Linked DNA regions of Canis lupus familiaris. The protein of the gene in region 1 binds, or shares a complex with, the protein of each later gene. Links are inferred from orthologs where the notes say so. Each region holds a gene or a part of one and is shown on either strand. Other genes may lie near its edges.

Region 1 (3,618 bases):
AAGATGAAACCAAAAACCTGAATCGTATAACCGTTAAGAGGATTGAAATTTGTAGTTAAAAATATGCTGAAAAAGGAATGCCTGGGTGTATCTGTTGGTTAAGCATCTGACTCTTGCTTTTGGCCTAGGTCATGATCTCAGGTTGTGAGATTGAGCCCCACACTGGGCGTGGAGCCTACTTAAGATTCTCTCTCCCTCTCCTTCTGCCCCTCCCCTCTCTTAAAAAAAAAAAACCTGAAAAAGAAATTTCTAGACTCAGATAGTTTCACTATCAAATAAATTAATTCTACCAAATAAAATTAAAAATATACAATTTACGATACCTTCAAAAAATGAAATACTTAGGTATAGCTCTAAAGAAAATGTATAGGTAGTAAAAACTACCAAATGTTGATGACAGAAATCAAAGATGACCTACCTAGAGAGAAAAAGACACATACAGCGTTTTTGGATTGTGAAGCTTAATATACTAAAGATAACAGTTTTCTTCCATACTGATTAATACAGTTATTTAATAAAATAACAATTAAAATCCCAGTAGGATCTTTTTGTAGATAGAGACAAGTTGATTCTACAATTTTATACAAAGGGACTAAATAGCTACAACAATTTCAAAAAAGAAGAATGTTGGAAGAATCACATAATCTGATGGAGACGTAATAAAGTTACAGTTATCAAGACAGTGTGGTATTGGCAAATAAACAGATACACAGATCTGAGGCCAGATATAGACTTGCATGAATATGGTCGATTGCTTTTTGACAAAAATACAAGTGCATTTAATGGAGAATGGGATGGTTTTTTCAAAAAATTATATTGGAACAACTGCAAAACACTGTTCTACATGCAAAAATAAATGCATATAAACCTCGTACCTTATGTAAAACTTAACTCAAAATGATCATGGATCTAAATGTAAAACTACAAAACTATTAGAAGAAATTCAGGAGAAAACCTGTATGACCTTAGATTTGGTGATGAGTTCTCAGACATGGCACCAAAGGCACACATCAAAAAATCGGTAACTGGACTTTCTCAAAGTTAAAAACTTTTGTCCTGTGAAAGATACTGCACCAAAAGAATGAAAAGACAAGTGACAGACTAGAAGAAGACATCTGCAAATCACATATCAGATGAGAGATTTATAATCCAGAATATATAAAGAACTTTCAAAATGCAACAATCAGAAAACAAACAACCCAATTTAAAAATACTCAAATGACATGAAAAGACACTTCTCCGAAGATGATATGTGGATGACAAAGGAAGCACATGAAGAGGTGTTTAACATCATTAGCCATTAGGGAAATTACAAATTAAAGCCATGATAAGCTAACACGACACACTGATTAAGATGGCGAAAATTAAAACACCGATCAAGGATGTGGAGCAACCAGAATGTTCATCCACTGCTGATGAAAAGGCAAAGATGGTGCAGTCACTCTGGAAAACGATTTGGCAGTTTCTTATAAAGTTAAACATACACTTACCATATGACCCAGCAATCCCACTCCTGGGTGTTTTCCCTAGAGAAATGAAAACTTCTGTCTACACATAAACCTGGATGTGAAACATTTATAGCAACTCTATTCACAACTGCCCAACACTGGAAAAAAACCCAAAAGTCCTTCAATAGGTTGAATGGGTAAACAAGGTATGCTTCAGGATATAAAATAAATATAAGAAGAAACAAACTTCTGGTAAACGTAGTAACTTGGATCTATCTCAAAGACATTATGCTAAGTGGAAGAAGCCAGGGACGCCTGGGTGGCTCAGTGGTTGAGCATCTGCCTTTGGCTCAGGGCGTGATCCTGGGATCCGGGATCAAGTCCCACATTGGGCTCCTTGCAGGGAGCCTGTTTCTCCCTTTGCCTGTGTCTCTGCCTCTCTCTCTCTCTCTCTCTCATGAACAAATAAATAAAATCTTAAAAAAAAAAAAAAAAAAAAAAAAAAGGAAGAAGCCAGACTCAATAGGCCACATACTGTACAATGCCATTCATAGGACAATCTCAAAAAGACAACATTCTAGAGTTGTCCTCCTTATCTGCAGGAAATATGCTCCAAGACCCCCAGTGGATGCCTGAAACTGCAGACAGTACCAAATCCTATATATACTATGTTTTTTCCTATATAGATCTCTAATAAATTTTAATTTATAAAATTTAATTTATAAATCAGGCACGGTAAGAGATTCACAATGAATTAATTGTGACATGGGACAATTAGAACAATATACTATAATAAAAGGTAAGTGGATGTAGTTTCTTTCTCTCTCAAAACACCTGATTGTACTGTTACCCACCGTTCTTGTGATGATGTCAGAGGACAAAGCGCCTACATGACAACGTAAAGTGAGGTGAATGACATAAGCCTTGTGATGTAGTGTGAGGTGGCCACTGACCCTCTGACAATAGTCAGGAGGAGGACATTCTGACTGAGGACCATGGCTGACTGGGGAAGAGAAACTGTGCAGTGCCAGGGACTGGAGTGGTGGCTGCCAGCAGTGGGGGGAGAGGCGGAAGGGTCAGACTGCCGAGGGCGGCAGTAGGGAGGGCTTAGAGGGGATGTAGCTCCTGATTATGGCACTGGGGTACAAAAATCTGTACATGTGCAGAAATTAACAGAAAAGAAGGTCAATTTTATTAGTGAAAATTTAAAAAATAAAAGGAAAAAGCAAACATACACAGTCAAACAACAATAATAAAACAAGTTGCAGAACCACATCCTACGCTCTCGGCTTCATGGAAAGAACAGTGCATGTTTGTGAATTTACAGAATGAGGTCCAAAAGGATGCTAATAAATCTTAAATGAGGTGGTCTTTCTGAAAATGGAACACTCTGCTAACTCTCCACACTGCTTTAAAGAGTGACAGCCACGATGTGTCTGCATTGATTCTAAACAGGAACACAAGCTAGTGGAGAGAAAAGAGGCTCAGCCATGAGTGGCCTAAGCTGAACCCTGCTGATCTGCTGTCATAAAGAAAGTAAATGTCTCTCAGCGCCTTGCTAGTTTTAAAAGTCCCAGTGCTTTTATTTCAACCATGGAAAAGACAAAATTTTTCTGAAAGAAAAGGAAGGAAAGGAAGCCTACCAAGAGGTTGACAGACTCGATGACATCCAAGAACACCTCATTCTTCCGGTACTTGATGCCCTCGGACCGCCAGGACACTGCATTGGTGACAGTGGCTGGGGGCCTCGGGGCCCCCGTCTCCAGCTTGTGGCCTTCCTGAGTGATGTACCTGTGGGACCGTGCCAAGAGTTAAGGAGTTCAGGCACTGACATTTTGAAAACATTCCCTCCCTAGAGCAGGTTCCAGAAAAGGCAGGCTCTGGTTTCACCTGAGCTGTTTAATACAAGAATATCTTACAATGTGTCCATAAAGCCCTGACAAACTTGAGTTACAATGAGCATAGAGTGTTCATTTTTCACTTGAGGGATGGTGCAAGGAGGGGACCTGAATTTGCTCTTCTGCTCGATGTGCAGAGGGGACTGACCCTTGGGGGAGAAGCTGGTGACCCCAATACCACTTGGGGAACAACAGGTGTGAGATGTGGGCCAGTTATGTGGCTTCTCTGAGTGCCCCTCTGTGCCATGTGAAACAGGGAGCAGCACTCCAGA
Region 2 (4,179 bases), on another chromosome or scaffold:
GGGACTGCTGGGTACGAACAGCGTGGGTGGGGAAACTTACACTGCCGAAGTATTTGTCCAGGAGCTCCACATACCGGTGGATCAGCTCCAGCGTGATGAGCTCATTGTCTTGGCCCTCAATGGCACAGCAGAAGTAGAGGCTGGCATATCTGAGGACAGGGGCACACGTGGGGTAGCTGGAGGCGCTGCTGCATCTGCTTCAGGATCCAGGCTTCTTGCACCCAAACCTCCCATTCCTCATTCCCAGCGCAGGGTCTGGTGTCCATTGGACATAGGCGGGGTGGCCCCAGGGTATGCAAATAGTAACAACTCACTCCGTCTCTTGGTGACTCTCACAAACGGAGGCTAACACAAGCTCTTTCCCTTTGCCCTCTGACCTGTTCAGTTTGACTCAGCAAAAACCTGAGCCAAGTAATCCACCTGCTCAGAGAAGGAACTGGACAGGGTGTGTCTGTGTGCGCGTGCGTGTGCGTGTGTGTGTGTTTGGGGAAAGGTGGTGCAGGATCTATCACTGTCGAATGAGGGAGGCTGCAAGGGACACGTACGATGAACAGGATAGGGCCTTGGTGACAGAGGTATGTGCGTAAAGTAGGTGTCAGGCATGAGCAAAACAAACGGGGAGCAAAACAAAGAATTTCTTCAAGGTAAGTTTGGAAATTGAAGGAAGCTGGAGTCCATCACTGACCTCCAGATGTCCTTAGCTCCCTGTTCTCCCTGACCTTATTTCTCAGCCATTTGAACCACCGCCAGACCCCCACCAAGCAGGATCCAGATAGCTGTGAAAGTAGGCGGCAAATCACCTCTTATAGACGACTTTGAGATCCCTCCACTCCAGGAAGCTGCACATCTTGGGCTTGCGAGCCAGAACAACCTGCATAAGCTCCCGGACCATTTTCTTTCGCTCCTTGTCTGATGTGGCCAGGTACCATTTCTGCAGCCGCAGCTTTCCCTGCCGGCTGAACAGCAGCATGAATCGCATCTAGGGGGCAGGGGCAGAGCTGAGGGTCAGAGATTCTGTTCCCTGGTTTTGTTTACTCCATAAACACAGTCATACATGCGTCCTACAAGTGCAGCTAACCCCTGTCCATTCACAGCTCCCACTGGCTTCAAAAATCAGCCCTTGCTGGTCAACTCTGAGTATCCCCACCAGCAGGTGCCTTTACTTCTGGGGGCATGTCTGAGCTTTGGAGTCTGTCATTTGGGTTCAAATCCTCCTGGCTCCAGGAGTTGAGAAATTTGCCTTGGGCAATTATTTTACCTCTCAGGGCCTCAGTTTCCTGGTCTGTATAATGGATGTAATATAAGTACCTACCTGTTTGGAGGGATTAAATGAGTTGATATATGCAATTGTGCCTGTCACATGGTAAGCATTGGAACACAATAGGTGTCACTATTATCATGCCTTCATCTCTTGTTTCCTACCTCTGCCTTCCAAAGGTCAGTCAAATGCCCAGCACAGTGACAAGCAGCTCATAGATGAAGTCAAAGAGATGTCTGCTTTCTTCTGTGGTCCTTCTATCCACCACCATCCCGAAATGAAGGATTTTGTCTCTCCAGAAGCTACTTCAATTCTCCACCCCATCCTGGCCATACACCCTTGTGGATATCCCCAATACACTGCCCTCCAGTGCTAGTCATATGCCCAGGGGTAGATTCCACCCTCTCCTCTCCTCAACCATCCAGGCCTCTGGCCACTGACAGTCCTCTCTTTTTTTCCTTCTCGGGTGCCTCTTGCTATGCCCCCACTCCTCTTCAGATACCAGGTGACCAATTTCCCTTTCAGTTCCTTGGTTAAGGACACCATCACCCAGGGTGGTTCCCGAAGCTTTGTGAAACAAAGTGCACGCTGAGTAGAGTGGGGAGGAGTGAGGAGCCGTCACTACCCCGTGCACCCGCAGCTTTCAGTTCCAGGGGGTCCAGGCTACATCCTGGAGTTAGCTCCTCCCTGGACATTACCACGGCTGGAATCCGTGGGTGTTTGACACAGTACTTGCTTAGGAGGCTAGATCAGAAATCAAGGGTTTGGGGTGGTGGGGAAGGGGACACGCTGCTAGCGTGACGGGAGGGCAGCAGAGGGGCGCTTGGGAGCCCTGCGTGTCTGAGACTGGGGGGCGGGGAAGCGGGAAGCCAGCAGGAAGACGGAAGGCCTGGGCTCCGGAAAGAGAATGGGGTGGGGGACGGAGAGCCAAGAGCACGGGGTCTGGGGATCCGAAGCCTGGGTCCTGGAGAGCAAGACCTCGCGTCCATTTGGCTTTCCCACCTGCGATAAACCGAGGCAGGACGTCCACTCCTCGGACCCGGAAACTCTCCCCTCCCACACAGCCTCTGCTCTGGGCTGCACCCGAACAGAGGGTCTTGTGACCCGCCGCCCCCCGCCGCCGGCAGGCCCCGGCGCCCCTCTTCCTCGGGCGGACCTCCCTGCGGGAGTGAGTGGTCGGGACCCCTCGGACCGCCACCCGCGCGCTCCCCCAGCCAGGCTCGGGACGGTCCCGCCGCCCCTAGTCAGCCCCCTCTCGCCCCACAAACGCGCCTCCTCCCCGCCCCTTCTCCCTAAAGCCATTTCCAGCTGCTGTTCCTTCCGAGGCCGGCTGGCCCCCCCGCCCGGGTACGTGGGGCCTCCGAGGACCGTAGGAAGAGAGGGCGGCCCCCGAGGACCCCCGCAGGTGCAGCCCACGCCCCTCGGTTCCCCCTCCCCTCCCTCTCCGCACAGCCTACCATCCTGCAGCCTCCGGCTCGGCGCGACCCTCTTCGGCCACCGTACGCGCCAGCTCCACTCCCTTTCTTACCCTTTCTCCTCCTTCCCTCCCTCTTGCCTGAAGCCCCGCCCCATCCCGCCCCGGCTCGGAGGCCCTTGGAGGGGCGGACTGCGCAGGCGCCAGCGCTGCGGGGCGCGCGGGCGGGGCTGGAGGCGGAGAAGCGGAAGCCATGGCAACCAGGTCCTCGACTTCAGCTTTGAGTAGCTCTGTCGTCATGGTAACAAGGCCGTCTGGTGGGCAGGTTGGAGGATGGGGGAGGAGGACAATGAGGTCCTCGCGCTTCGGAACCTTGGGGGGAAAAAGGCGGGAAAAGGAATGAGAGGTGGAGGGGACGACCATTGGAGTTTATGAGGCAGTAGGGAGGACTGATGGAGGGCGGGGGCGATGGAAAGGGCTCAGAGTGGGAACTGGATGTGGGGAGGGAGCCCTGACTTGAGGAAGACTAGACAAAGCGTGGTGGTGATGGGGGGGTGGGGGGGGCTGACGTGACCTAAGTATGGAGTCCAAAATAGATACGCACCGAGAACCTGCTAGATGCGGCACTCGCCTGAAGTCAGAGAAATGTGTAGGTAATGAAGGAGATGGGAAAGAAAAGAAAAGGAGGGGCTGACATGAAAGTGATGCGAGGAAAAGGTGGGGAGGAGCACGCATGAGCCGAAAAGAGTCTCTTTGAGATGTTCCGGTGGTAGCACCGGTCGAAACTGAAAAGAGACAGGTGTCACCTGGACACAAGTGTAAAAATGAGGCTGTGAATTGCAACATGGACTTTTCGTGCACATGTGAGCACGCACGCCTGTGCGCGTGTGTGTTTCCTCGCGGTCAAGTAAAGTGGTTGGCACGTCGGGATAAGAGAAAATCTTCCATTTTTTCATGTTGAAAATGACGGTATTGCTTTTGAGTAGCACTTGAAGCAATTGTTGGTAAGGCCTCACCTTGTCTCCATTTTATAGTATTTTTTTCTTTCTTAAGTATTGAAGTAATATGCTATCCTTGCAAGACAGGGGGCCTAATTTGCCTGGGATGCAGTGTGGCCTCTGACCCTTAATAGATGCTTGGCCTCAGGTGAGTCATTTAGCTCTCAGTTTCCTTATTAGAAAACTGAGGATGGCCATATCTGCCTTGCAGGGCTGTTTTGAGGATGTATAGAAAGTATCCTGGATAGTCAACACTCGATGATATCGCTGTTCACTTTCTCCCTTTCTCAGCTTCTTACTTCTACTTTTTCTTTTTCTTCATCAGTCTCCTTTCTCCTCTGTCTATACCTTCAGCTTGCCGGTGACTTAGAGGTTGGCTGAACTATCTTGGTATTTTTCTTTTTTTAGGTCAAGAATAAGATGGATAGAGCCCGCTGTTGGAGTTAGGAAGGATAAATCATTACTGAGTGAAAAGAAGGAAAGGAGGTGTTGTAGAAGGGGCAGAAGGC

What was found.
Region 2: the proteins of AP1M1 (region 1) and AP1S1 are in contact, whole or in part, in a crystal structure (PDB 1W63), measured with the Mus musculus proteins. The link is inferred for Canis lupus familiaris from reciprocal best matches to the Homo sapiens genes AP1M1 and AP1S1. Residues at the interface, in NP_031482.1 of Mus musculus: Lys12, Glu31, Asn186, Asn188, Val189, Leu190, Glu232, Glu234, Asn270, His272, Arg421; in NP_031483.1 of Mus musculus: Lys26, Lys30, Arg33, Glu34, Gln37, Lys43, Glu51, Trp52, Arg53, Asp54.

Annotation. Positions count from the first base shown.
Region 1 is NC_049241.1:46,687,768-46,691,385, forward strand, and holds part of AP1M1 (AP-1 complex subunit mu-1), read right to left. Parts: intron 3,240-3,618; coding exon 3,092-3,239; intron 1,527-3,091; coding exon 1,491-1,526; intron 1-1,490. UniProt on the Homo sapiens protein: Subunit of clathrin-associated adaptor protein complex 1 that plays a role in protein sorting in the trans-Golgi network (TGN) and endosomes.
Region 2 is NC_049227.1:8,623,137-8,627,315, forward strand, and holds the start of AP1S1 (AP-1 complex subunit sigma-1A), read right to left. Parts: upstream 2,875-4,179; 5' UTR 2,719-2,874; coding exon 2,716-2,718; intron 980-2,715; coding exon 801-979; intron 150-800; coding exon 41-149; intron 1-40. UniProt on the Homo sapiens protein: Subunit of clathrin-associated adaptor protein complex 1 that plays a role in protein sorting in the late-Golgi/trans-Golgi network (TGN) and/or endosomes.